Drosophila melanogaster: one gene and its partners. The protein of the gene in region 1 interacts with the protein of each later gene in a pairwise test. Each region holds a gene or a part of one and is shown in the gene's direction. Other genes may lie near its edges.

Region 1 (10,383 bases):
CGCCATCCCCTCCGCCCATCGATGTGACACCTGACTTGCCGAACACACACTACTCAGCACATCTCCATATCCTTTTTACGTAACAATCCCGAAAACCGAAAAGGTTGAAAGTCGAAGTCAGCTAGCAAAAAGCCACAATGCCGCAGGACGTTGCGCATTCGGAAGGATTTTTCCTCATTTTTTTTTTTTACGTTTGTTTGCCTGATTTAATTGACGAGTACTCCCCAGGATGTGACAAATGCGGTGGTGGCGGAGATCCAAGGAATAACCTTAATAGAATTTCCATTTGTGTCCATTAGGCCTTGGTAAGGCATTCCTTGGCGGAAAAAATAAATTATGGCCATGCGAATTGATGGTTATTTAAGATGAATTAAATTAAGGCTGACTTAATTAATATAAAAGTCTGCATCGAAATGGGATGATGAATACATAGTTCCAATAAAAACTTAAATCTCTTTGACAGTAGTTCAGCACTTAACAAATTTGAAACTAGCTTAGAAACAACAAGGATATTGAATGAATCTTAGAGCTGTCAAGCTAACAATAACACAATATAACAATATAAAAACTATATTTAATTAGCCTCGTATTTGACACTGATGTGCATCAAAGCGATTCCTTTAATTTAGGGACGTTTTGAGCAAAGTCTTGAATAAGAGGCTAATTAAAGCTGTGCCTAATTAAAGTGTATATTCAACACTAATTTTAAAATTATAATGCATATTTGGACTTCATAACTTACCATATCCAGTAAATACTAATACTAAACCGAAATCCCTGAAAACAAAACACATACGCAAGGAAATTTTTCGCATATTATTTTTAACAACTCTGGTTAATCAAATCCATAACATATTTACATTTTGATTAGTAGTCATTTTTAACATTCATAATAATAGTTGAATTTAATTATATAAAACTAATAAAATCATTTAAAAATTGAATTACCGTCATAAAGCAAATATGCAATTTATAGCATTAATAGTCACCTAAAAATCATTCACATAACTTAACTAAAAAAATTACTTGAATTACAAATAATTGACTTTAGACTTTTTGTGATAAAAGTGCGTGTTTCGCAATTTGGTTTGTACTATTCACAATCTAATCATATTCTAACATCTAACAATAGGATCACACTGAATTCACCAAATTTTTGTAGTGTCCTTAGTTTTCTAAACTTGTTATTTAACAAAATCTATAACAATAGTCCAGCTGTATCTCATGTCCCAACTTTGGTTTCCTTTTGTTTACCTGATCACAATCTAATTAGCCAACAATGAATCTCGAACCGCAACTGTCGGAATTAAACTTGAACCAAAAGTTGGGAGAGCAGGAAGGTAAACAGGATTTTTCCGAGCAAATCAATTAGAGCATTTCCCCAAAAAAGTTGCAGGTTAAATTGTTGAAATGCCAGAGCTTGCCGGGATCCATCAAGGAATCCCTTCCAGCCTCTTGGCGCAACCATTACAAATGGCTGCGACTTGGCTGGCTGTCAGTTTGGGTTCAGTTCGTGTTGTGTGTTCTGTTGCGCTGTGACTTTTTAACCTAATGAATAATAAATTGGCCCAATTGTCACGCAAAAACAATGCCGCGGAATAGATGGATAAGGGTTTGCACTGCGACCTGACATCAGGAGGTCTGCGAAGTTTACTTCTCCAAATTTTAGACACATTTTCCATGCCTGCCTTTCCATTCCAATCCATTGCCGCCTGCCTTTTCTTTGCTGTTTATTTCCGCTGAAGTGTCGCCTTCGATAGATTTTGGCATTTGTTACGGAACTTGCATCCACCTGGGAAATCGGTGGCAGGCATCTAGCAATGATTAGCACTTGCTCTACCTTTTCCTTTCGGCTTAAGTGGCGCCCACTTGCATTCGTTTGGCCCTTTCGCTGCCTTCCCGGCCAAGTCGAAAAGTAATTAGCATATTGAAATGTTGCACAGGCCTCGCCTGCGGAACAATCTCATAAATAATTTAGCCAGCATATTTGATGCGCTTCGGTTGCAATGACTGCATTTCCCCAGTTCTTTGCGATTGCTGCAATGTTACATGTTGCCCGTGTGCTGGCTTCAATATTTAATTGCGAAAAATCTCCCAGCCGCGAAAGGGGCTATTCCTCGGCTACTTCATCCTTAGACCTCTTAAAAGCGTGTCAACAGCTTGTCAATCACAATTTCGCAAATAAAATGTAAGTGTCAGCTCATGGAAATTTAGTTTGCGAATGTGTTGATTGTGTTTTAGTTGTGGCTGTTTAGAAATAATTGGGGAGCGGTGGGGCTAAAAACAAACTGATGTGGGGTATTCTCTAAGGCATTGCGTGTTCCAAGTACAATTGCCATACAAAAGGTTCACGAAATCAAAATAGTTTCATCATACCTACACAATAATAAAATTCCAAAAGTATCTTAAGCTGAAGTGAAAGAAATAATTTTACATAAATCTTGATAAATTCAAAAGTTAGCATCCATCATAAAAAAACGCATGCAATTCACACCAATTAGAATACTAAAATTTCATTAGTTTCAAATTTAAAAATTTGATATGCATCAGTATATAGGAAAGAATAGCTATTCTATCCAACTGATATATGTATATATGCGAGAGTCACTAAAGTTATTACATCATAAACCAACGAATATAGTTACATTCCTAAAAAAGCAAATTTGAAATAAAATTGAAATACAAAAAAACATTTAACTTCGGATGCTTTTCAATTTATAGAATTATTTTACCCATACCAATCGTTTATATTTATTCTATCTATTTCCAACTGACTAACTAATTTTATGCGGAGAATAGTTAAACCTTTTAAGAACTTCCAAACTGAAACATACAATATCGGTCAAATGCCATTAAAAGAACTAAATGAAAACCATTTAAGCAATTAAAAACTGCTTAAATTAGCCAAGAATAAATTGAAACAATCTGTATCTCCATAAGCGAAACGAAATAAACTAAAAAGTAAAATTCAAAATTTGACATAATTTACGCCTGCGCAACAAGGAATAGTGTAGGTCCTCGGCAATAAAAAACCAATGCCAGGACTCTCATTGGTCGCCATCGAAAAGGCAGCCGAGCGAAAGCCGAGCTGCGGTCGTTTGCATAACACGCATACGCCGCATAGGCCCAAAGGATAAAAGCCGCCGACAACGAGGGATGTTGCTTCCTTGTTGGCTTCCGCTCGGTTCGCGAAGGCGCTGGCTGCGTTCGTGTTGCCTGGCAGCTAGTGCCAGGATCACAAGGATACAACGTCAGCGGCTGGACAAGCGTATTGCAGTTCCGGTGCGGCTCTCACACCGAGCAGACGTGTTGGCCTGCCTAGAATAAGAATAACATTCAAATGGTCAGTGCATTGTGATGCCCAAAATTGTGTTAAGCCATTGGCTAAGTTTGGCTGTTTTATATAAGAGTTCCTTCACGGACACTTATATAATTTTGATTGTTGCTCAGAAAGCCCTCATTGTTTACCAGTTGGCTTTCGAGCAATAATTGAAACCAGATAAGTGATCCCCTCAACGCTGACGATTTCAAAGCACTTCGTTTTGGTAAGTTAAGATTTATTTCATTAATTATGTTTAAAAAATATATAGAGATTTCAAATTTAATTACTTTAAATAAAAAGCATTGCTAATTATACATACGATTTTATAGATAAATTGAAATACTTATTATTAATATTTATATTTAAGTTCCAGCGATATAATTTTTTGAATTAAATAAATGTATACCTTTTTTCTGAATCTTTGTTAAGCAAGTTGAATCTTTGTAACAAAGACTTTTTTGTAGTGAAACTAGATAATTTGGTTAGCGAAAATAAAAGAACAAGTATAAATATTTATATATATACATAATTAATATGTAATATTTAGAAGCAATTTATATCCCATTAATTAAAGATATAAACTGATAAATTACTGAAATTGTGATCTATATGATTCTAGGCAGTTCAATTTCATAACTTAAGCATCCTTGTGTTTTATTTAGAAACCACTACTCACTCGAAATTCAATCGAAAACTATAAGCTATAATTATATATAGTTAAATTGCAATTTATACGATTGTAGATAGTTCCATTTTATAACGTAATGTTTTATTTAAAGCCTACTCACTACGAAAACTATAAACTATAATTACATACCTAGTTTAATTAAGTCACAATTAAGAAGATAATAAACAGTTAAATTTCATAACTGAAGCATCTATGCTAAATGTTTTTGTTTATAACCCACTACCACCCATTCGTGATTCCTATAAATACCTGCCAGTTAAATGGGTTCACTGCGCCCCAAAACATTTCCTATAGCGCCAAACACACCCGCATTAGCGACGTCCAAAGACTTCCCCCTTGCAATTAGTCACCTGAGAGCGGCGTCGTTGAACTTCGTCGAAATGAAAACAAAAGTGTAGCGAAATAGCTGAATAATATGACAATTGTCAAGCATAACTCAAGTACCTCAAATCGAAGCGACCTTCACATTGAATGCGCCCAAGTTTCGCCCAAAGGCGGGTGTCAATGCGCCTGAAACTTGTTTCAGTTGAGCTCCGCACTCGTGTTTGTTAATATTGTTTATATTTGGTTATTTGGTATCAACGCCAGTCAACGGCAGACAATGGATATATAGTGTTTTTTATGGGCGATTTGTTTAGTGAATTAGCATTTAGTGCGAAACAGAGCTGCCGCGATCAATGAACTCGATTGGGATGCTATCTGGTTTTCGGTTAAGGAACCAAAGTCATGAAATCAATTAGTAATTCTGGCATACTTGTCTGATCCACTGAACTGATTTGTGTGCTCCGACTGAGAATCGAGATTGTGGATAATGAATTATTAATGCCTTGGTCTGTAGATTTGTCATACTCCGTCTTAACTTTCAGTTTCAATTCCAATTCCTGCTTTGCCCACTTCAATACCCATCATTTTTGGCATGCTATTGCTTATAATACATATTATGTCATAGAAATGCACTTCCACCTGCATTTATCACTTTGATATGCGATGGATGGTGTATCAACCTTCCCATGTCGCCAATTGCATTGAGTGTGTGGGCCATGCGTTAGTTTTAAGGGCAATGTTAATGTCAAGCGGCTAATATTACATTGATTGCGCCGACATTGAATTTCAATTAATTTTTGGTCCCATCACAGTATTCATATGCAGCGCAGACATCCTAATTTGCATAACAGGCCCGATTACTAACTACCAGGTCTAAACTGATGGAAATATGACGTCTAAGGTTAGCTGCAATGTGCGAACTAATTGTGTCAAATGCAGGCAATGACATAACTGTAACGATTACGCAAATCCTAGAAACTTTTTTAACTTTCTTAAGATAGATTAGATAAATTAGATCTTGTAGGAACACAAAAATGCATTGTAAATCATAAGAACTGAAGAAATAAAAGATACTACATGCAAGCAAAAAGAAATTTAAAATCAAAAGAGTTGGTTTTGAATCATTTATAAAATTTTCTGTAGTTATGCAATAGCATTTCAGTTGATTAACAAGTCATAATAATATTTACACCCTTTTCTTTATTAACCATACAACAATTTCAATAACACCCTAAATACGTGCTAATCGCAATAATAATGTACTAAAATAAGGATAGAGGTGCAATAAACTCGTAGTGGTGGCATCGAAAATTCAGCATAAATATTGTCACACCTTTTGTCGCGCACTTTTCAATGTCATGAACTTCGCTGGGTCATAAAACGCAAAACACACAAAACTTTATTTCGGCCATTGTTTACTTTTGGGTTTGTTTTCGACTTTTCGGCAGCTCCTTAATTCACCCCCCCCCCCCTTGGAGCAATTGAAATGCCATAACGTGTGCACATGGCACCCATGCCCACAATACCAGCAAAAAAAAAAAAGGCGATGAGACAGGTAGTGCAGCGCAAAAAAAGCTCTCAGCTGAGGCAACAGGTGCCAAAGGCCCGGCTGCGACTTCCGTTTGTTATCAGGCCGAGAGAGCGAGCTTTCCGGCTAATCCGCATAGAACTCCGGACGACAGTGAAGTAAGTCAGTGGAACGGAGAGGCGCTGGACGCCCAGACACCTATATATAAATTAATTGCCGCACAGAATATTCGTGGCAGTTTCGTTTAAGCTTGAGCCGTGCTTAACGGGTTTTTTTTCGGGGCTAAGAACACTGGTTGTGCACACAGAAAATGTTGAAAATCGTATTCGTAGTCGCGGTTCTGTCGCTAGTGAAGTGTGCACAATCCCAAATTGCTTGTGAGTTGATTGAACAAATGTGACGAAAAGAGTAATAAGTCAAATATAATATGAAAAATAAAATAATTATAGTTCCTAAATTAGGATTCCTGGGAACTACCTTTTAACTTTTAACTTGTGTTTAATATTCCATTCATTTTTGCAGTCCTTAATATTTTAGGTTAGTTTATATCAATTAAGAAAGCATGATCTTTTAGCATTGTGGATTTATATGCTAAATTCACTGGATAAATCTAACATCTAATGTTCCAATTGCAACAGTTTATGCTTCCCTATTTGATAAGAACTCAACCTACAAATATTTCAAGATTCTATCAAAACTTGTATAATCATAAAACGTGCATAAGGAAAAGTTTACTAGATTATGAGAAATATAAATAAATGCGTTCTGCTTATATTAACTAATTATTTTCAACACTCCTTATCATGAACTCACGCAAATTGAAATTCCTCTGACTCCCATGACAGTTAGCAACCAGCCATGCTCGGTTCGAAATCCAAAAATCGTGGGAGGTAGTGAGGCGGAGCGCAACGAAATGCCCTACATGGTCAGTCTGATGCGTCGTGGTGGTCACTTTTGTGGCGGCACTATCATCTCGGAGCGATGGATCCTCACGGCGGGACATTGCATCTGCAATGGGCTGCAGCAGTTCATGAAACCAGCTCAAATCCAAGGAGTTGTGGGTTTGCATAGCATCAGGGAGTACCTCAACGGGATTGGCAACGGTCCGGATGCACTGAGGGTGGACTTCAAGAACATTGTGCCCCATCCGCAATACGACTGCAACGATGTGAAACACGATATAGGTATGTGTGTTTTTTAAGGGGTAATTGCAGGTTCAATTATTTTCCATATGTACAGAACTGAATCATAAATCAACAATATGACATTAACATGACATTATTTTTCAGTAAAATGAATAAAAAATTTTAATCTAGTAAAACACCATTAAAAATATGCGCTTAGGTTTTAAAAAAACAAACAGAAATACATAGGTAGGAAATAGTTTCAACAAAGGATATTAACATTAACCATAATGAATCAGAGACGAATCAAATAATACTTATTATTCTTAGTATTCCTTAAGCTATTGCAAATTGGTATTTTATTCTTTTACAGCCCTCCTGGAGCTGGTACAGCCAATCCGATTCTCTTCACACATCCAGCCCAGCTGCGTGGGATCCGAGGAGGGGCACCGAAGTCTGGAGCAGGAGTACGGAACAGTTTCCGGTTGGGGCTGGACGCACGAGAACCAAGCGGAAAACGATCGATCCGATGTACTGCGCAAGGCTACCGTTAAGATCTGGAACAACGAGGCGTGCGAGAGGTCCTACCGATCCTTGGGCAAGAGCAATACCATTGGAGAGACACAGTTGTGTGCCGGTTATGAAAACGGTCAAATCGACTCGTGTTGGGTGAGTATTCACTTGGCTGATACGGCACACATGTTATGCTCCGGGTTTACTTACCTTCACAGGCGGATTCTGGCGGTCCGCTGATGTCCAAGGAGCATCATCTGGTGGGCGTGGTGTCCACGGGGATCGGCTGTGCACGTCCAGGTTTGCCCGGAATCTACACGCGCGTCAGTAAATACGTGTCCTGGATGCAGAAAGTGATAGACGGCAGGAAATAGTTGGCCAGGAATCTGAAACATAAAGATTGTGATTCACCTGTGATATTAGTCGTACTCGATTATGTGATCTTCTTCAATAAACGTTACTTTAACCAACTAGAAATTCAATTTATTGCGGCCGGTCGTCATTTTTTAAACTTTAATCGATGATTGTGCCAATCGATATCGTTGGACTAATTTGTGGTATTTTGCAGAAAAGATTACTCTGACAATATTAATCGACAAGAATATCGCTAGTGTAGGAGGAACGGAGGAACGATGGAATTTTGAATAATTTATTCTTTCATTATTGAATTCAAAAAAATGCAATAACGTTTAAAAAAATATCTAACTACCTATGTACGACTTAAGTTCATAGGACTCAAGAAAGTATATGAAATATGCACTTGAAAACTTGGCTCCCCACGCTTACTGTCCCACCTGCTGCCCCGCCCGACCGACTGTCACCCGTGGCCCAACGAATGTCTTGACGTCTGCCCCGCCGTTTCCCTAAAGAAATGTCCTTAAAAGTGGTCACGCTCTACGAGTGGAGAAATTCCCGAAAATGTGGGAATAGTTAGTAAGATCTTTATTTTATTTTTTGCAATTCACCTCCAAATAACGAAAAGAAATAAATAAATAAAAAACGTCCCCATGTTTTGATTTCCACCGTTCCGTCATCGCCGCGAACTCATCGACGCTAATTTAACGCACATACAATAATCGCTTTATACTTAGTATTTTAAAAATACTTATAAGTAGCACTTACCGTCCGCGGTATTTTTTGTTTCGCAGCAATTGGTATTCAATTAAATGCCATAAACAAACACAAAAAATGGAAATGGACGCAGACCTAACAAAGTAAATATTTATATTACAATCCGATATATTTTTAATTAATTTGATGCTCTCACGTTAGTCAGGCGATTGCCGAGCTAATGCGCGAGATCGAAGGTGCAAATGCCAGTGTCAGCACCTCGAAACAAAGCGAACGCAAAGTGAATCCTCTGGGCAAACTAAACAAACGCTTCTTAGGCCGCACCATAAACACCGCGATTCGGCATAATGATAGAGAAAAGGAGCGCACACAGGCAAATTGCCGACAGAAGCTGCAGGATCTGGATGATGTGCACGAAAGGAGGAAGTCCAACTACTTTTACAGCCGCGATGCACCCAGAACTCAAAGTGTTGATAGAAGCAGAAGTTCCAGCAGAAGGCGCAGCAGGAGCCGCCACAAAAAGGCCAAGAAGCATCGCAGCCGAAGAAGAACTAGGAGCAGCAGAAGTTCAAGCCGCAGTCGAAGTCGCAGCAGTTCACATCGGCGAAAAAAGCGCAAAAAGAAGGTTAAAAAACACAAAAAATCACACAGAAGACGAAGAAGCAGCCAGAGCAGCAGCGGTTGCGATTGGGAATCCGCACCCAGCGAGTCGTTACGTATACCCCCGCCTTCAGATGTGTTCCTAAACCACTCCAAGCAAATGGCTCTTGCAGTGGCCATGGCCTATGGTCAATTACTAAACCCGAGCAGCCAAAAGAAAGCCAGCGAGTCTAAGGAACACTCCTCCTCTCCTATAAGCGATATATTCCGGGAACTTATGTCCGACGAAGAGGTGGACAAATCCGAGAAGCCCGAGGCCCTGTCCATTTCATCCAGCGACGAAGAGCCAAATGTTCTCACCATTAAAGTAAGCTCGAGCTCCGAGTCCAGCGGCAATAAATCAAGCTCGGACTCAGATTCAGAAGCAAAGAACAGCGTACGCAGCTGTATAACCCTAGAATCTGGTGATAATAGTGATATTGAGATAATTGAGTACCATGAAGAGCCCAAAAAAAAGGCATGTGAAACTGAACCTGCGTCTGAACCTGAATATCCGTCTCAATCGGATAGCACAAATCAACAAGTGGACGATAGCACAGCTGTCACTACAGTGGACCTGACCGAGGATTAATTAGGCTAAACTTTAGTTAGAGAATCGTTATGTAAGATCAGAATGAAATTTTAAAGGAAACAAACTGAAGTTGAACCAAACTAAGAATATTGTTTTTATATTATTATTACAGATATAAGCTCTGCCATAGATAGATTCATATTTGGTTGGTTTTTTTTTAAGTTATGTTTAATAGTAATATACTAAATATACCACCGAATGATACCCTGTTGTGTCTGTTTATAATATCAACTTTGGGTTCATTTTTTTATTTAAATTATAAAATAAAAATGCAAAATTTGAAATGTTAATAATACTTATTAGTTTTAGTAAGTAATAAAAACCACGTGCCAGAGCTCTTGCCATAGTTGATATGCCTCTCGTGTACGGCAACAAACTGTTGCTCTCTCTCTCTCTCTATGACCGATTTTCTCTCAGCACCTGCCCGAACAGCTGATTCTTTATTTACCACTCAATTTTCGATGGAAAACGCCAGCGCGAAGACAATTAGAAATCGCTAAGTTAAATAAATAGAGATCCGTTGTCGCAAGATGTTCGGGAACCTGAAAAAGAAGCTTAGCAGTGCGATCCAGGAGGGCCTGG
Region 2 (10,237 bases), on another chromosome or scaffold:
TTTTCATATTATTTGTTTTATTTATGGGTCCATGACTCTGATAAATGGCCGCAACTTCATCCTTCGTCCTGCCCACCTATCAACGTGTTGATGTGATTTCTTTTCTTCACTGGATACCCCTTAAAGTTTGTCCACGTTGGTTTGCCAATCTCGAGACATGGCATAAAAAACTCACAGAGATTTCTTTAGTTACCTTAAATTTAATAGTCATCAACAATTTGATAACTAACTTTATTTTAGGGAACGTATTTTGAATGACAGTTTCTTGTTTGATTACTTATAAAACCAATCATTAGATATAGGTAAAAACACAGAGTATCATAACTTTGATCCTGTTGATCCATTCGTCCATTTTATCTACGTTTTTTTTTCTCCAAAAATTATTTAAATTTCTTATGCAGGCCCTCGTACAAAAAGTGATAGACGGAATGGAACAGGATACAAAGAAGGGTGAGAAGTACATGTGGGTCGGCGGTAGCAAATTGATAGATGTGCTGTCCGTCCGTTTCGAGGACCCAAAAGTGGCAGCTGCTCGTTGTCTACACAAGAATTATGATGGCTAATAACAGGTCTAAGTGGTTGCTCTACGGTGTTCCATCAAAAATCGCATACAGCTGCTAACCGAAAAATGCAATTGATTCGACAGTTGGTGATGGTTTTTGGCCATGGGATAAATCAAATATGAGAGTGCAGTGCACAAATGAGTGAGCCATATGATTTATCGTGCTTGAAGCGATGGATCGCTGTTTACATTTTGCCGTAGATTACTTTTGGTCAGACGCAATTAAATTGAGCTTGATCCAGCATCAGAGCGAGGGCCCCAGTTTATATCAGGTTATTTATTTATTTTTTTTTGTTGGTTGATTGTTCTGGGTGCAGATGTCAGGACATCCTGGTTTTGCTCCTCTCGTTGCAGAGATTCCACCCCTTTTGCATCCTGCCATGGTTCATCACGCTCGGCTACGTTTTCATTTTGGTTCAGTGTGCAGCGCAAAACTTTTCCCTATGACAAAGTTTGTATCTGCGGATGCTCCTATCCTAACAGCCTTTCGTTGCGAGTGTTTTATTTAATTTCCAGCACGCGGCCATTCGCAATTGCAATTCAAATTCACATTGCAACGGAATTTTCGAGGGGCGACGTGGGCGTTGTAATTCGGCGGCGTGGAGGAGTGTGGGCGTGGCTGGGGTTTTGGCTTACTAACTTCCTCCTCAATTTTTGGTCCATCAAAGCCACTGACGGAGCTGAAATTGAATAGCTGTCGTGGGTTTTTGGAAAGCAGTTTGGTTTTTAGTTAAGCGCAGCTTCTAATAAATTACTTTATTGATTGATTGAGTTAAAGGGTGTAGCAAGCATAGCTAAGAAATATTAAATTCCGAAAGAAATTCATAAAATAAGTGGGGATAAAATGCAACAAACTTAACTTTAACTTCTCAGATTTTTTTTAAATAGTAAGCTAAAAAGTAAATTTCAAAAATAGAAAGAATACCAGTATGACCAGATCGTCTAGCATATATTTTTGCGTCATAGGGTTGACAACTCTTTTTCCAACCTATTACTTATAAGCCAAAAACGCTCCACGTTGGGCGCCACTTGTTTACATTTATCCGTTCAGTGTGCTGATGGTAAACCATTCGGATAACTATTTGTTTAGTAGCACGTCAAACTGGTACGCCAAAGGTTATGTATGACCTAATTGATTTTATCCAAAATAGGCTAACAATTTCTGTTGAATATGTAATTATGTGGTTTTATTTTAACTGACTCGCAACCGCTTCGCTTAGGCAATTTGCAATTGTCTAGCTGAGCGACAGGCGGCAATTAAACGTAGCCGTGCCCCAGGCGTAGAAGCAAAATGAAAATGTACCAAGTAAAATGGAGAGGATTGTTTAGCGGAAAGTTGTCAGCGCTTTGAAGCATTATCATCGTGTCTTGTCTTCTCCTGTGGCAATTCCATTGAATGTCCGCAGTCAGCCCACAATCTGTTTGTCTATATATACCTGATGATACTCCGCTTTTCGCATCCATTCGGGAAACTCCATGAACATTTTCCCCCACTCATACCCAACTGCAGTGTGTATGTGTATGTGTGTGCGTGCTGGCAAATATGCCCTGAGTCTGTTTGCTCTTGTTGCGCTTTAATTTATGCCATCCAGCAGCAGTAGAAACAGCTCCTGTGGATGCACTCTACTGTTTTCCACCAGTTTTTTTCCTCTTTCCCCTCAAAACCTTCCTCAGTTTGTCTGTTTGGTGAAGCAAAACCTATTTTCTTTGCAGCTGATTGCATTTTATAGCATTGCAACCTGTCAGACTAACAGCTTCAAACTCTCGACTCCTTTGGCCCAGGAATTTTCAGCTACACAACACAACACCCGATCCCCCCTTCTTTTTGGCCAGTATCGCCAGCCGTGCTCTATGAATTTTTTAGCACCCCTCGCGTGCTGCTGAAAGAGCAAAAAAAAAGAGGCGAAAGACCAGGCGGGTCAGGCAGTAAAATAAATAAAAGTTTATTTAGCGTAAAACCTGCAGTTTCGGTACACTTAACTAAAAATAAAATTAATCACTTGTATAGTAAAATTCGATGACATGTTCATAGTTAAGTTAAGAAATCCGAGAAATAGCAAAGCATTTAATGTAAGACCCCGCTTTGTATTTGAACAGCTTACTTAAATCCCGCAAATAAGTGTTATACTAAATTAAACTTAAATATTTGTGATATTTTACTGATTGAAAAATAATCTTTAAAAGTTTATATCAAACTTAAGTAGCCAGATCCTAACACATTGTATTTAAATCCATTATCCGAATTGCCACACGCTTTTTGTGTGCACCTAAGCATTTATTTGAAATGTATATTTGCTCACCTGGCTTCGGCAGACTCCAAATTTATAGGCACAACTCGCGTAACGATTCGTGTGGCAGTTTTTCCGCTTTTAGCCATAATTTGGCTTCTATTGTTTTAGACCTGCGGCCACTTTTTCTGACACGAATTTGTATTTCTTTTTTAACCCGTCACCCTCTGAATTCACCCTCTTTGTGTGCCAAGTGGCGTTATGCGATTCAAGTTGCGTTTAATAGTTAATGCAAAGCTTTTAAGCACCCAACAGCAGTCAACAACAACATGGCAAAAAAATACAAAAATAAATAGAGGAAAAATAGGAAAAACTAGTGGGCGAAACTCAAAGTTTCCTATACCCTTGAATTGGTTTGTAACGAGTTTAAGAAGGTGGGAAGAATCGTTTTAATTTGTTTAATAAAATACGTTAATTGACTAATAGTACAATCGTAATAAGCAAAAAAAAAAAGAGCTTTTAACCATAAGAAGCTTACACGTACTTATATGCATTGTAATTTAAGCGTCTTTGTTTTTAGTTCAGTTCACTACATTAAGCGTAATAGTAAGTAAGTGCCCCCTAATTTTTATTTTCTCGCTATATGTACATTACTAATACTTCTCTACGGCTTTTTATAATGCCCATATACCCGCTTCTTTTCACCTTTTATCGCTCAACTGGCTCTAACTGTTGGAATTAAATTTTTAGGATTTTCGTTTGCAGACTGGGAGTGGGAAATTCTCGTCGTTTTGCACTGCAACAAGGCGAAACAAGTGCGGCATGTAATTACATTAGCTTTTATTTCTATTATGCGCTCATAACGTATTTTTTATTAATGCAGCGTTCCATTAAAGAAATTAATGGCGAACAAAAAATAAGGGTGCTGCAAGCTGGACCTGGCGAGAAAATCGAAAAGAGGGCTTGGGTGGGTAATTAAAAATGATCGGAAAGTTGAGCCAACATAATGATGTGCTTAGCACAAGTAGAGTGCAGCTGCCCGGTTGCCAGTTCCGTGCCCATTGCCCAGTGAAAATGATTTGCTCATTGGGCAGAAGAGATGACGATGACCCAACAAGTTGTTGAGTGCTCAAGGACCTGTGCCAATATTTGGGTCAACAAGTTGGAGCTCACATCTGGAGTACACAAAAGCAATAAAAATGGGGCAAGAACTAAAGGTGAACAAGGATAGATGAGGTGCATTTGAACTACATATATGTATGCTCTAGTGCAAAGTACACACACTTATTCACAATATAACTCATATTTGTACACCTTTAAAGTAATAATATACAGCTGGCGTTATTAAACAAATTTAAATAGCGTAAAGTTTCAGTACAAATGCAGGTTAATTAAGATTGCCCATCCTATTCAAGTTAAAAATAAATTTAAAAGCTTAGCTTTAGTTCAACTTCTCTATTATTGTAATGCTTCATAGTTCAACACTTTAGCAATTGAATATAAATCAAAAGAGAATTCTATAGTCAAGTTCCCCGACTACCAGATACCCGTTACTCAGCTAGTGAGAATGCGTGGTGGTGGCAAAATGTTTTCTGCAAATCGACAGAAAATTAGTTAGTTTTGGGCGGTTTTAGGGAGTTAGAGTGGGTGTGGCCAAAAGTTTTTTTGACTAGATCGACTCGGCTATTGATATTGATCAAGAATACCTTTTATATATATATATATAAAATATATATATATATATATATATATAACATATATATATATATATATATATATATATACAATTATACATATACATATATTATGTATATATACATATATATGTACTTTAAAAAATCGGAAACGATTCCTTTTGCCTGTTACATACTTTTCAACGAATCTTTGAGTAAGGGATATAATGACCCTACGAAAACTATATCTTTAGCATTTAATTTATTTTTCATAACCCACAATATGCAGTCGCCCCACTGCAGCAAAACCAGAAAAAATCAAAGCTGAAAAAACACTAAAGAATATTTAAGCGGAATCTGCAATGGACCTACCATTATTATACACCAAAAAAATCCATTTCTTTTAATAGACAATATTCGCCTCGCACATTGATATTCAAAAATTTTTTATAAACTGGGCGAAGTTTATTAAAAAAAGGATGATGGCAATCCCCCTTTTCTGAGTGTCGCCGGGTGGCCAGCCAATATTTTATTCATTTCATTTTGACATAAACTGTGAAAAGTGCGGTGATAGAAAGAATTGTTCAATTTTTAGTTATTGTAAACGATCGGCCAAGTGTAAAAATGGTTTTCAGTTCGACTTTGAGTTTATTAAAATTTCTTGTCCGTCGCATTTCACTATTGTTATGAAACGTCGAAGTTTTGCAAGCGAACGAGTGCGAAAACAGAAATTTTAGATATTTTCCATTGATAATTAAAGAAACCGACTGAAGCTGAAAATTGACTGCGAAATGGAAAACTGATTTTAGATTGGAAATTAAAAAAAATCTTAAGAATCAAATACTTTAGTTATTGAAAACAATTTAAAGGGCTCATGATGGATTATAGAGCACTTACAACTAACTAATACAACAAAAATCATTTATGTTTGTGTCTTAAATTTGTCTATATAATATATATTATATAGCTTCATATACATATGTCATAGGAACACATCCCTGAATATTGATGCTCATTGATTAATCGGATAAATTAACAAAAAATATACTTTCTCAACTGCTTTTAAGTTAATTTCGTCCTAAACACTCTTCCTAATCAGCCTTACTAACTAAATAAGCTTCTTATTGGCAGACAGATATTTCGAGGAAATTGGTATATAGGTATATATAGGCGATGCTGTAGTTGGCAGCTTGAAACTTGGCCCAAAGCAACTTGGCCCGTCAAAAGTTTTTAGGCGGAGCATCAATGCTATCGTCATTTTGCTTTGACTGCGCACATGATTATTACACGCGCTCATACACACTCTTTCACCCACATACACATATACACATACATATACCGTTTATACCCACACACTGACAGATAAACACATGCAAACTTTGGGCCAAAAAACTTGCCGCAAAAAGTTTTTAAGTAAACGGAGGGAGGAAAGGCGTAGAGGGTACGAAAAAATTAAACTAAAAACCAAACTTTAACTTAATGAAAATGCAATATTTGCGAGGGTTGTGGGTGGCCAAACTTTTCCTGCCTGCTGGCAATTTATGCACCAACGTAGGCCAAGTCAAGAAAATCAAAAAGAAATCAAGTTTCACTCTTCAGTGTCCCTGATTTATTCCATACACAATCAAAATCTGAAGTGTAGTAAGATTTTCAAAAGGGCGAAAAAGGCAAATTCTCTTGATTATGGCAGAAAAAAATAGTTCGAACGATGGACAGTACTTCCTTCAATCGAAACATTTTATCGATTTTAGACAGAACGAAACGGACACAGTGGATTCGGCTATGGATGTAGCTACCAGGCAAAGTGCATCCACCAAAAAGAAGATACATATCCACCAAGGACTAGGATCTAGAAAAACGTCAAAGAATATTAAACGGAAAATGTCGAAAGCTAGTCAAGACCTGAAAAGAACTTCTAAAACTGCCGCGAAACCACAGAAGCAAAGGTTATCACAGAGTTTTAAAAAAAGAAATATTCCGGAAAAAAAATTTGACAAGTTCCCGCAGGCGGGAGTTTCCCGAAAGCAGGATGGCAAATTCCGAACCATAACTATCAAAAAGGAAGCACAATGTCGTCTGCGAACTGCCTTAAAATTACTGGATATCCTTGAAGGGAAATATGATGACAGTGATAGAGAATGTTCGTTGGATTCTAAATCCTTACATGGTTCAGTAAAAAGAAATACCCGTCGATTGCAGACTATGCAGGATCTCCCACCCAGGGATTTCTTTGGTCTTTGCAGGGATTGCCGATCACGATGCAGAAATTGTGGCAGACGTCCTTCGGCTGTCCTTATGGCAAGACGTAAAAGATATTCATAAGGAAAATTAAGACTTTGATATGTCACAAAATGAATGATAAGCCCGTAGAAGTCGTATCTCTAAATTTGGTTGTCCTAATAAGTTTATAGCAAATATATAGCTTTTCCCTACAAAGTAACACAATTATATTCTTGAGTCAGCCAAAATAGTTGCTACACACTAGGAAGAGAATTTCGCATCTTTTGTGTCATCCCCAAACACACAGATACTTTTTATGCGTCTCACAGCAAACAGTTTCTTTTTCGTAGAGACTTGTCTAGGGGAGTTGGAAAAAAGGGCGCCGGGATAATCCAAATCTCATTACGCGCAAGTCGTACTTAAGATTAAAAATAATTATTTCAATTTCTGTGCCAGGCCATCGTCACGTAGTCGCACAGGTGGGTGCTTGGAGGGCGGTTGGTGAGAGCGGTCGGGAAAAAAAGTGAAAATTCAATTAGAATGCGCCAACTTCATGTGAACAGGCAGCCAGGCGAGTCTAACTGTCTGGCTATGGAGACGGCGTCCCTCTGTCTGGCAGCCTTCCCAAAATGCAGTGGCGGCATGTTTTATTACAGGTGGGTGCCGCAGTGGGTGGAAAATGGGGTGGAAAGTGGTGTGGAAAGTGGGGCGGAGTGGGTGGTGCTGGTTGTAGAAGAGCGGTAAGGCAGAGATCCACCATCGCGTAATCCTTTTGCCAGCCTGCGAGCAACCACAATAATTTGATTTTACTTTGCTTTAACTTCATGAAAAAGTTTCAAGTTTTTTTGCCACACACACACATACACACACTCACACCTCTGCCTGCTGCTTCTGATAAAGTTTTTAATTTTGCAGCTGAAACTCATTTAGCGCAACGAAAGTGCGAAACTGCGCCGGCATCAGAGGATGATACGTGTTTTAGGATCGTCTGCTGCATATTTAATGGGGTCTGCGTATCCCCCAAAAAAGGCATTTTAAAGACCCCCTCTTACACACAAACCTATATATATATTATATATATTATTTTTTGTATTATTTAAATTTTGCCTACACTCTGGCCCAAGGCGTAATGAAAGCCAGAAAATCAACTGAGTTGGAACTTTGGCCAAACAAATTTTAGCATGAAATTGCTACACGAACCGGATAAATACACAATCTACAAAAATTCATCTTCATTATAATGCCTGGTGGGGATGGAGTGGTTTGGAATGCATTTAAATAGGGCATAGTCAAGTGAAAATTCGGCGGCTATTAGGCCACAAACAAATTAAAATTGTTATATACTCTTGGTATGAATAAAATTAAAGGATTAAACTTTGCAATGATTTCGAATAATTAAATTATAGCTGAATATACATTTCAAAAGTGTATTAAGTGTAAATCAATGTAGGAGCTATATTTACATAGCTTACATACTCATCTGGCTTGGATTTTCAGTGTTTCATTGTAATATTTTCTGGCAACTAAATTAATAATTAAAAGTATATTTTGTGGATAGGAACAATCAAATTTCTTTGGTTTGTTTTCTTCAACCTAATTTCCAAAAATCATTTCGAATCGAATGAGTACAAATCCACATCAAACACTCTAAATTGTCATTTGGCAAAAGCTGTCGTCGTGATTGCGTTTTCTAGTTTACTTTTGATTGAATCCAAGTTCAATTCGTGGTGCTACTGAATTCCTGGTCAAAAGGAAATCGTTTTTCGGAACACAATAGTCGAAAAGCTATCCCTTGGCCAAGGTAAAATATTTTCTGATTGCTAAAAACAATGAAATGCAATTTTTTTCGCCCACAAAAAGAACAGCCAAACATTTCTACCCCTCGTCTTGGTCTTTCGAAAAGCAATTCTATTTGATGCGGTGGTAAAAGTGTTTGAATTTGAATTAATAGGATTAGAACGAAATGACTTTCAATGGGGGTAAATATATTAAAGTGCTTTTTGCCATCGAATTGAATGCAAATGTTGATTCTGTTTCGTTTCTCAAAAGGGCTGTGAGCAAACGCACAAGAATACACTCAGCTGACAGAGTTGATATAGGAGCAATCAGATTAGTTGGCTAAAAAATATTTCCGCATGTAGCAGCAGCAGTGGAAGTCATTTTAATTATCTCAATTCCCCAGGGCGCAGTTCAACTAATTGCCCTCTCCTGAGGCGTTATTCCAGCGGAGGGGTTGTGGAGTTGTTCAGATGTCACAATTAAACTATGGCCCCAGCCGAGGGACACCAAAAATTCCGCCCATAGCACTGAAAGAATTTTTGAAAAATAATTACTTTAGTTCTGGTTATAAAACGAAAGTTATTTTACATATTCGCATATTAATATGTTCATATTAAGAGCCACATGTATTGCCATATTATCATAAATTAATGTTTAAAATCAATGAAAAGAGCAATAAATTAAAAGAATTAAAACACCAGAAAAAACAATGGTTGTTAATTGATTTTGTTATTGAAGCTATTGATTGACATTTTAGGCCTAAAATAGATAAAGTTTTTTCTAAGTGCACCGCCACACTTTTGGGCCGCTTTGTTCCTTTGCCTTATCAGTGGCTCAAAATGGCAAAAACTGCCGGAGTGCCCCTAATAGGAAACCACAAAAAAAGTCCTGAACCAACTGAAGTTCGGAAGAAGGCGCGTGTTGTTTTGTCATGGAAAAAATTAGGCATTCCGTGCGAAATGTAGATACGAGATAATCATTTTAATAAATTTCACAGTGATAAATGACTCGACTTCCCCACTTTCTCTTGCCCACGTCCTTTTATTTGTCCTGTGCCCTTGCTCCTTGCCGTAGGCGTAAATTAGTAATAGGTGCTACTTAGGTTATGTCCTGACTAATTGATGAGACACAAACATCTGAAAACTTCAGATACATAACTACATACACACAAGCATTAAGCTATCGCACTCAACCATTACTAAATAATTTAAAAAAATAAAATGCTTGCATACAAAAGTGTTACCATTATTTAAAAACTACTTTATCGGAGAACGTTTTTTTCATCCATAGTTCTGCAGTTAACTTTGCCAACATTTCACTTACCAAAATGACTGCCATTGGAGCAGCTGCTAAACAAAACTGGCGGATGTGTCGAGTGTTTTTAATTTTCGCTTGAGCGGTTTTGGTTCCGCTTATAGCTCCCAACCCCCAAAAAGTCAATTGTTTGTTTGGCGCATTATGCAAATTATGAAACTACAAAAGAAAACTTTCAGGATTTTTACGCCATTTTTTTGTTGGGCCCCAGCTGTTGACATTTGCTGCCAATTTTCGGTGAGCAGGCAAGCAAAAATATTTCCCCAGATTAAAAGAAAATAGTTCTTACGTATGACAATTTTCCTCCGCTTTATTTGATATATGTTTATATAGTATTTGTATATTCCAAGACTTAGGGGTCTAGTACAATTCGATTCGTATCGTAGAAATGATGCAGCGCCGGTAGAAAATGTTTACCACAGTTAATCGTAGATCTACATCTAAGCTACATAATAAATATG
Region 3 (10,616 bases), on another chromosome or scaffold:
AGCTCAAAGGTCTGTTCAATATGTACGGACGGCAGATCTGCTAGGCAATCGTATCCGGAAAGTGGGATAAGCGTCCGGCTTCCCGTAACCGTGGCAATTGGCACTGGCAGCGGGATGCGTGGAGCCTCCGGCCTGGGTTGTGAGGTAATGCTGATATGGGAGTCATAAACTGAAGAAAAACAAACAAATCGTATATAGACCATTTTCCAATACGAGCAGAATCGTAAGGTTGTCCATATTGTTATCTTTGAACTAAGATTTTATAAACCTTTTCCATATCTTTAGGGTATTACAAACTTTTCCATAGATTGAATTTTGAAAGTTTTTAATATTTTAATTAAATTTAAATTTCATTTAAAGTTGTAGTTTTAAGATCATAATTTTACAGTGAATTTGAATTAAATAAAAATGGTTGTTGAACATTCTGCTAATAATAGCTCTGAGTAATAGCAATATTATTGAAAATATTTTGTGGTTATAACAAATCGTTTAGATTAAAACTTTAGTAGTTTTTCGATTTTTTCATAATCTTGTCACATAAATATTTTATTACTTTTCTTGGAATAGGAAAATGTTGGTATAGGATACAGCTAATATCATGGGTACGGTTTTACTATCGGATTGATCGCTGGGTTCGATCGTCCCAAACAAAGGCACTTGAGGAGTCGCAGACCATAACAAAACGCTGGCCGATAAGATATAGCCAACTTGTGGCCGCATTTTTGCGTCGAACTGTGTGACACACTCGCTCGCAACAATAATTAATCCGGTGCACTGCTTATCAGTTGGTAACAATTCGGTTACCCTTTTGCCAGGGTGATTCACTCGCTGTTTTTATTCGTTTTCTAAAGCCATATGCCCTAAATTACCTCTCGGTTCTGAGAGACTTGGCTGCTGGGCCACACGGATCTCACTGTCGTATTGCAAAGTGCGCACCGCGTTGTTTTGCAACATTTCGCCAGCACTTTTCAAACTTATTTGACGGCGGTCTAAATGAAATTGATAACGGTGGTCAGTGGGGCAGTAGCACAACGGAAGTTAAGTGCTTTGTGCCCCTCGCCTGGTCACACTTCCTGACTCAGATGATTTTAATACTCTATTACGAACGTTCTCATGTGAAATAGTAATAATAGCTTATTTATAGTGCTATTTTGTAAACTTTAATTCATGCGAATGTTGCAGGTTTTCAAAATATTCGTTTATGCTGCTCAAGCTGAATGTGGATAAATATATATTCAAATCCAGAGCTGCCACCTGATTCAAACTGTTTAGTAACGTATTTTCTGCACTTGCGATATATACTAAATTATCGCGGGATAAACGTGCTATCGCACTTGGGTCATACTAAGCCTTACGGTTTATTTTGCTAGCAGCAAAACAGAAATAAAACCTTTACTTAAATTTATTTATCAGAATTTGTCTCGTGTGAACTTGAAATTAAAGTCCGTCACCGTGTTCTCGGACCGAAGTTTGCTAAATGACGTGGAGACGAGCAGCAGGTGAGCGAGCGATGAAAATTGCAACAGTGCTGGCCATTTGGCCGACGATTTGTTGTTGTGGAATTTTTTGGCCAAAATTCGGGTTGTTTTCAAATCGGTTAGTCAAGGGGTTGGTAATCAAGGAACCAAAGTGCGCAGCCGCTGGAGCGGGAGCGGCGTAAACAAATGCCAGTGGGGTAGTGGTTCTCGGTGGGGGCTTAATCTCTGGAGCGCAAATAGCGACAGTGTTCTCTGGGCCATCGGTGGAACCAGCTAAGTCGGCGGAATCCACAAGAAATCGAGCGATAAGCGGCGGAGCGGGTCCAAGTGCAATAATCAATAAACGTGCTGTTCAAACATCGCTGCTAGGCGAAAGATAAAACCCAGTCGATTGTGAAATTCCTGCTATATAGAACGGATTGAAAGCAAAAATTTGCTCCCCATTTGCTTGCCTTTTGATGTAACTCCCACGAAGTGCTTTTGCTATTGCCAACTTGCAATTTGCCCCCTTGTACCTTTGGGGGGTGGTTTTCGCCCGGAAAAATCCATGAAAAGAACCGTCAAGTGCGCCACGCTGGTGAAAAACTGCTAGGAGTGTTAGTTTTCGTTTTGTGGCAAGAAGAGAACGCGGCATGTCTCTGGAGGATCCGTTTTTCGTGGTCAAGGAGTAGGTGTCCCCGATTTGGCAGATGGCCACATGCACTGCTGGTGGAAAGTGCTATCTTACTTATATCTCTGTTTTTTCTTTCATTTCCCTCCCCTTCCCCAACAGCGAGGTATTCAAAGCTCTGAACAAAACCCGCGGCCTCTATCTGCGTTGGCGGGAGCTGGGCGAGAACGGCGGAACGGAGGCTGAATGGACCACCACCGAGCTGCGTAACTCGCTACGGAGCATCGAGTGGGATCTCGAGGACCTCGAGGACACTATCAATATCCTTTTGCAAAGACCATTGAAAAATCAATTCGTTACCTGGTACTCATTTATCGAATTGCATTGTCTGTTTTATTTTCGCATAAAGAGGTTGAGATCCCATTTAAAATTGCTGAATATGCAATTTATTCGTGATTTAATTCGCTCGTTTATTAGTATTATACTAATAAACTGTACAGAACTTGTTTTTTTGGCACTATAATTGTAAAAAAAGAGTACTTGGTATCTTAAGGTCGGTAGAACCGACTTTCTAGCTCATCAGTCTCCTCGGTTTTCTCCTTAACCCATACCATTTTGACTCACACGCATCGTTGAGAAGAATCCAAGCAAGTTTCGGATCGACAACCGCGAACTCTCCAGCCGGCGCCACTTCATCGACAACACTCGCGATGAGGTCAAGCAGATGAAGGATAAGATGAGCCTGAACCGGAGCCGGGACAGAGACATCACCGCACACCAGCCGCTGCTCGACAACGATCGCCACAGCCCCAATCACAATCATTCCATTGCCATACCCAATTCGAATTCCAACTCCAACGAGTACCATCAGCATCCACACAACGATCGCACGTACCTCGTGGAGTGTCCCAACGGCAACTCGCTGATCAATAGCGGCAGTCAGGTGGCCAATACCATAGCTGGGACCATGTCGGCGGCAGCGGCAGCAGCATCCCGCCACAGCGGCACCAAGTACTCCAAGCTGGAGAACGCCCTGGACAGTCCCAGTCACTATGGGCAGACGCATCACGGCGGCATGGACAGTCCGAGTCATAGGTACGTGGGCGAAACAGTGTCCATACAGCAGCGTATGATCCAGGGACAGGATGAGCAGCTAGACATGATCAGCGATTCGATTGGTACCCTCAAGACGGTCTCGCGGCAAATTGGCGTTGAGCTCGATGAGCAGGCCGTCATGCTAGACGACTTTGGGAACGAGTTCGATACCACGGAGTCCAAGTTGGATACGACCATGAAGAAAGTTGCCAAAGTCTTGCACATGAATAATGGTGAGTGGTGCGGCACTTGTGGTATTCAAGGACTATTTTGATTGAAATATTAATGAAGAGTAAATGCTTCAGTGAACCACAATCAAAATTACCCATTGAATACTTTTGTGACTTCTGATTCCTAATTCTTAACTGTATCCATCTTCTTTCACAGATAAACGACAGTGGGCCGCCATTCTCATCCTATCCGGACTGTTATTGTTTGTGATAATTTTGTTTATTATTTTGTAATTGCTTTCGTTGTTCCCAAATCGTTTATATTTAGTGTAAATTAGATTTATTTATGACTTAGCTTGCTTTTGAATTCGGGCTCTTAATTACAATTCCATGTAAACTCCCTTGCTGTATATACACGGAAACATTTTAACCTGATTTATTACCAGCCGCCTCTCTCTATATATATATAATGTAATTCCAAAGCTACGGACAAATGATCATGTAAAGTCAATGTAGGCGGGTAATAAAAGATAACTAACTACTTACATATAAACCAAGTGCTCCAGAGTTCTGTCATTCCCAATTTGGCCAAAGGATACTGCAACTGTAAGCTGTATATACATCGAAGGATATATCTGCATATATATACATACAAACAAAATGGACCTACCAATATCAAACGAGTTATTTAACGAAGAGTCTTAGGAAATTTCACTAACCAAATCTAGCAAAAACTTGTATGCAATTGAGTAAATATATATACTTATAAATTAAATTCCTAATTTAAAGCCAAATGAGGTACTTCTTACGGGTCACCTAGAAATACTGTATGAGTGCACAGAGAGAAATTGTATACATATACAAAAATTTGTTCGCTATTTTGAAAGCCTAAATTAAACAAAAATTGGAAATACAAGCTTTCAAATTTTTTAATGTTTTTAAGGATAGTAGGATTAGTCAAGATGTTATCTTCTGATAGATCAATGATTTGGAAAATGGTATTTAATACCAAATTTTTCTCTGTGCACAAGGAGAGGGTATCAGGCCCCTTCTCATGTTCTCTCTGCGCCCCAAAACCACTCGACAGCCCACTCGATTTGCCCACTCACTCAGCTGTGTTGCATGCTTTTGCCCGGAGCTTTTTGGCGAGCTTACAGTCTGCGCACAGTGGCGCAACCAAAGGGGTATCTTCGAAAGGCTTGAAACATAACCCCTACGGGGAATCCGGACTACGCCACTGGGTCACAGCATAAGCACACGGGCAGAGCGGCACGTTTCCATGTGATGTTTTTCGGGTTTCGGCATTCAGTGTTGTTTGCCTTTTCCGCGGAGCTGGAGTTTTCCCAGCAGTTGGCATATAGTATATATATATATCTCCTGATATTCCGGTAGAAATGTTCAATTGTTGAATTACTTCGGCTAAGCGGCATTCAAAGTTATTTTGGTGAGTGACAGTGCGCAGTGAAGTGAACATACCCACCCATTATCACCCCCAAATATGCAGTAACCCAAAATTCGACTTCCTCTCGGATGTTTGTGGTTGGTTTTCCTATTGTGTGCAGTTTTTGTTGCCGCTGAAAACCTTGAGCATTTTGTTGGCCAAAAATATATAAAATCAATGTCAAACGGCGGAAGATGGGATACCGCTTCCATTTCTTTCCCCCCCCCCCCCCACTTACTGCTCTTCGTGGAAACACTCAGATTTCAGTTGACCGCCAGGTAAAACCAGCTGGTCCGGTTGGCTAGATACTCCTTCTGGGATTTTTCCTCCGCTTTCCCTTTGCTGCCGTGGCTATTAATAAATGCATGTGGCCAGAAGAAGCGAGTGAACATATTTCAGACTACATGTGTTCTTGGTGGCCGTGTGTTTTCCTTTGGACGCCAGTGTGTTGCTCGTGGTTTTCATTGCTGGGTGGGGGGAGCTTTTTCGAAACTCTTATCAAAAGTCGGATTCGCGGGCAGGGATTCGTTCGTTATCGAAACAGATGAGCGAACATGCCGTTACTTTTTAATCAAAAGACGTGTGTAGTTTATGTTGTACGGAAAGTGGACGGTAATAAAACTCAAGTGTCTGGAATTGCAATGCACCATTGCCATAAGCAAATTTCCAATGCACAGTAAGCAAAAATGGCAAAAAAAAACACAAAATTAATTCTGTTGGTGAAAATATCATGTTATATATCAGCAAATTACCCGCACAGACTGTTGTTTATGTATATTATACGATAAGTTTATTGCGAAATCAATTTACAATGCTATTTTTGAAAGTGAAAGGGAAATTGAAAAGCCATATCTGTGAAAGCAAAATGGGAATTTTGAAAAGCAAATTTCCTACAACCATAAGAATTTTTAAAAGGGCTTGTTTTATTCACTTTAACATTTGCAATGGATAGTAAAGCTAACGTATTCACGTTCTGAGATTTTAGGCATGACTGCGAATAAGTGATATTGTATTACAATTTACACAGTTTTAACGCCAAGCATTTGTAAGCTTACTGTTGCATAAAATTGAAAAAAAAATTTACAAATTTTTGAATAGCTTGCAATTTTGAAAAATGCATCCAAATATAATTTTCTAAATATTGTGTGATTAAAGGAAACCATAATGCTTACTGTTGCGTAAAATTAAAAACCAATTTTACAAATTTCTGAATAGATTGCTATTTCGAAAAATTCATCCAAATATAATTTTCTAAATATTGTGTGTTTAAAGGAAACCATAATTAAATAATGCTTACTGTTGCATAAAATTGAAAAACAATTTTACAAATTTTTAAATAGTTTGCAAGTTTGAAAAAATCATCCAAATATAATTTTCTAAATATTGTGGGTTGAAAAGGGAACCATACTTAATGTGCTTTTAAGTATACCAGATTTTTTTCAAGTGTACGCACAATTGCCCACAACCCACTTACTCACACTCTAGCACATTCGAACTTATGGTGTTTATTATTTAATTTGCTTTTCTCCTGTTGCTCTGCTACCCCTTTATTTCCAAACCAGATATTCAGTTACCCGGAATGAGTGGCGCACAGCGGAATCAGGATCGCAAGATCGTTGTCATCGGAGCAGGAGCCTCGGGTGTGGCCTGTGCCACCAAACTGCTGGAATTGGGCTTTCAGAATGTGCTCGTCGTGGAGGCGGAGGATCGTCTAGGTGGCCGCATACACACTATACCCTTTGCGGACAACGTCATTGATCTGGGTGCCCAATGGTGTCATGGGGAACGGGACAACATTGTGTACGAACTGACACGGAAACAGGATGAGGAGCTGCTGGAGTCGACGGGTCCGGTCTACGAAAACTATGAGTGCGTCCGCTCCAACGGAGATGTGGTACCGGAAGAGGTATCTAGTCGCCTGAAAGCCATCGTCGGGGATTCACTGGTCACCCGGCAACTGGAGCTGCGTCACTGCAGCGGTTCCTTGGGCAGCTATCTGACCAACAAGTTTTACGACACTCTCCGGCGTCCGGAAAACTCCGATATAGACGCAGAGGTGGCCAGTGAGTTCTTTGTCAACTATCAGAAATTCGAGAACTCCGTCGAGGCCTCGGATACGCTAGAACAAGTTTCGGGACGAGGTTACCTGGACTATTGGGAGTGCGAGGGCGATATCCTGCTAAACTGGAAGGACAAGGGCTATGTGGAGCTTCTACGGCTTCTCATGCGCTCCAGGGAGTTAAATGTGGAGCATGGAGTTCTGGAGCAGCGTCTCCTGCTTGGCACTCGTGTTGTGAAGATCAACTGGAATCGGAACGACGGACGCGTGGAACTTCAAATGAGCAATGGAGAGACCTGTATAGCTGACCATGTGGTGGTCACGGTTTCATTGGGAGTTCTCAAGGATCAGCACCTTCGGCTATTTGAGCCACAGCTTCCAGTAGAGAAACAACGTGCCATTGACGGTTTGGCCTTTGGAACGGTCAACAAAATCTTTGTGGAGTTTCCCGAGGCATTTTGGCCCGAGGATTGGACGGGTTTCACCATGCTCTGGCGGGACGAGGATTTGGATGACATACGCGGCACTTCTCGAGCATGGTTGGAGGATGTCTTTGGCTTCTACAGGGTGAGCTATCAGCCGAGAATCTTGGCGGGCTGGATAACCAATGAGAGCGGCAGGCACATGGAAACCCTTCCCGTTGATGAGGTCCAGGCTGGCGTTATGTACCTCTTCCGAAGATTCCTGAGGTGGAAAATCCCAGATCCCGCGAATTTCCGCACCTCTGCCTGGTATACGAATGACAATTTTCGTGGGTCCTACTCCTATCGATCCATGGACACGGAGCAGCTGGGAACGGGTGCACGGGAGTTATCCCATCCCCTGACCGTGGTGGCCACCACTCCGGAGAAGGACAAGGACTCGGAGGACGAGGCGTGGCAGCAGAGTCGCTGCGATAGACCCATTGTCCAGTTCGCCGGAGAAGCGTCCAGCGAGCACTACTACTCCACGGTTCACGGAGCAGTCGAGGCGGGATGGCGGGAGGCCAGACGACTGGCCCAGTTTTACGGAATAAGCGTGTCCCGTTCTGGAACCAAATCGCAACTCTAGCTGTAGGCTAGGATATCGTAGAACATGTATAGACGACAGCGATACCTGACCCAGTTATACGTGTGGATGTAGAATTCTGTCTTCGCACTACAAGATACAATCAAGAAAACTGATCAGTACATCCTGGATAGACTTCATATGCCTAAGCTAATAATTTACACATTTGCCATAGGTTAGCATAGGTGACAGATTATATTTACGAGTTTATATGTACGTGAGCATGTCAATATGTCAACAAGTGCGCTGCCCAATAAAGCTGTGTTTAAGTCTTCTCTAACCTAAATAAAGTTAATATATACATCATCAATTGCTAAGCTAATGAAAAACGCTTCCCTCTCAATCGCATTTAAAATAGTTTTTTTTTTTTATTAGTTTCTCACTTGTTTTCAACAATTTGTCACTACGTTTTTGGTGAAATCAGTTTTCGAAATGAGACATGTCGTCACACAGAACTTCACATTGTATCCAATATGCTTCAGTTAGTGAGTGTATATACAACTGAGATACAATACGATTAGCTTTAGGTTTTACGGGGGGATTAACTCTGTACTTTGATTTCAACAACGTGTAATACATACATTTATAATTAAGTCATTCTTTGAACACAAATAAATTTTGTACAACAAGTTTATATAATTTAATTGTAAGTTAGATGCTGGTTGAGTTCAAATTTCCTTCACTTTCTGTCAATAATTATTGTATTCATTACATTGTTTTCACTGTTACGCAAAAAGGTACATGTCGTGAAAAGGACTAAGGCCGGACGGGAGTGCCCAGCAGGACCGCCTACGGGTAAATAGTGTCTCTTCTCCGTTTCTCTAGCAGATTGCTAAATTCGTATGGCAAAAATACTTTGGTGTTCATCAACAAACTGCATGAAATGCTTGTCCACATTTGGCAACCGATCTACTGCACCCACATGGATGGTGCCCATACCGGTTCGTTCTCCAGTCGCTGGACATTCTGGACCAGCTGCTCGAAAGCATTGACCAGTTCGCCGTTGACCAGCTCTACGTCGAAGAAGTGTCCGTATAGGAAATCTATGCGTTCGGCCGACTTGATCATGTCCTCGAACTCTTCGTCCGTAAAACTTCTGGCATTCGCCTCGTCGAATGTGGATTTGGCACGCGCCTCCGTTCGCGTAGCCTTCAGGATGTCCAACTCTGGTGGCTTCACATGGATGAGGAAGGGCTTCAGCTGAGCTGTGCGCAGAGTCTTGATCGCCTGGTAGTGCGGACTCAGCACACATACGCAGCCGGCATTCACAATCGACTTGACACTCTCCGCCGATGTTCCGTACAAATGGCCCTTGTACTCGCCGTGCTCCACAAACTTTCCCGCCTCGATGTCCGCGTCCATTTTCTCGCGGGCCACAAAGATGTACTCTCGTCCGGCCACTTCACCTGTGCGCATTGGTCGGGTGGTGTCTGAAAAAAACGAATAGGTTTTCTATTAAAGATGTTCGAAAAGAGGTCCATTTGTTCACTTGGTCATTTCTACACTAGTTCATTTGTTCACTTAATAAAACAAACTTAAGAAAACTTACACGGAACCGGACTGCGGAACTTCTCGGGATCCCGGGCTATCAGCCGGCGGCGCAATTCATTCCGCCCCACGCCGGGTGCTCCGATGAGCACTATGGGCCTGAAGACTCCGGGCCGTGGATACAACTTGGCCACCTCCTCGTACGTGGCGATCTGCTCGCGGTCAAAGTCGTCGTTCTCTGTCAAATCGTACATGATCTTTTTAGTCTTGGGCTGGCGGCAGGAGGAGGTGCTGCTACTCGCAGGCAGACGCGGGGAGCCAGGTGGGGTGGTGCATAGTGAGGCGCATGATCCGGCTGGCGATGGCAATGCATGGATGGGACCATTTGGAGTTGGGTCGAGTGTTAGATGAGGGGGGCACAGATGAAGAATGAAATTAGAGCAATTTTAGTCATGGAAAGACAATGAACAGCGAATGTTATGGAAGCAATGGGCTGGCAACGCGATATGCTTACGCTTCGAGTCCAGATCGGTGCCGTTCTTCTGTGTACGGTCGTGGAGGATACGGCGCTCCTGCAGCGCCCGGCTGGGAATCAAACCGGCTCTTGCCGAGCGCTCGTGCTCCTTGCGCGCCTGCCACCAGTAGGCATCGTCTTGGGCCACAATGTGCAACACATCGCCGCGCTGGAAGGCCAGACCCGCCTCCTTGCACGGAATGTAGGGATCCACATCCGGATTGTAGTCAAAGTGGGCCCTCACCCGCACTTTGGACTCGCGCTGGGCGCCCTTGTTGTCCGCGGGAACCAGCTTAAAGGTAATGGTGCCCTCCGAGTTTTGCTGGTTGTTTATAAAAGGTATGAAAATTACATCAAGAATGAGGTTTCTCGATCAATTCTAAGCATACTTACCAGTATGGTGAGCACATCGCCCGGCGTCTTGCCCTCCACGTTGATGTTGTTGACCTCGATGACCTCGTCGCCGACGTGAATCAATCCGGAGCGATCTGCAGCGCCGCCGTGCATAATTCTGGCGATGATTATCTTGCCCGACTCCTCGTCCGTTTTAATGGTGGCGCCCTAAAAGTAGGCAATTCGTGTTACTAGAAAGCCAACGCAAGGCGCGTATGTGTGCGTGTGGAGAGAGTGTGTGTGTGTGTGCGATTGTGTATCTGTGTGGAGTGCGGCTTCCGATGTTCTAGATGTGAGTGTATCTAATGGATGCGTCACAGC

Evidence for each region.
Region 2: the proteins of CG14074 (region 1) and CG31804 interact in a two-hybrid assay, tested with the Drosophila melanogaster proteins (one large-scale study listed by BioGRID).
Region 3: the proteins of CG14074 (region 1) and CG7737 interact in a two-hybrid assay, tested with the Drosophila melanogaster proteins (one large-scale study listed by BioGRID).

Annotation. Positions count from the first base shown.
Region 1 is NT_037436.4:18,857,549-18,867,931, forward strand, and holds CG14074 (uncharacterized protein), read left to right. Parts: upstream 1-8,676; 5' UTR 8,677-8,713; intron 8,714-8,771; 5' UTR 8,772-8,790; coding exon 8,791-9,801; 3' UTR 9,802-9,883; downstream 9,884-10,383. Other genes in the region: CG6865 (uncharacterized protein), read left to right, coding at 6,173-6,239, 6,708-7,046, 7,360-7,655, 7,718-7,873; Dysb (dysbindin), read left to right, coding at 10,332-10,383.
Region 2 is NT_033779.5:17,357,451-17,367,687, forward strand, and holds CG31804 (uncharacterized protein), read left to right. Parts: upstream 1-6,045; 5' UTR 6,046-6,146; coding exon 6,147-6,785; 3' UTR 6,786-6,901; downstream 6,902-10,237.
Region 3 is NT_033778.4:11,218,214-11,228,829, forward strand, and holds CG7737 (uncharacterized protein), read left to right. Parts: upstream 1-5,231; 5' UTR 5,232-5,385; coding exon 5,386-5,470; intron 5,471-6,356; coding exon 6,357-7,903; 3' UTR 7,904-8,533; downstream 8,534-10,616. Other genes in the region: CG9084 (uncharacterized protein), read right to left, coding at 1-169, 870-954; Syx6 (syntaxin 6), read left to right, coding at 2,168-2,408, 2,715-3,416, 3,571-3,647; metro (menage a trois), read right to left, coding at 8,810-9,330, 9,450-9,743, 9,903-10,224, 10,296-10,463.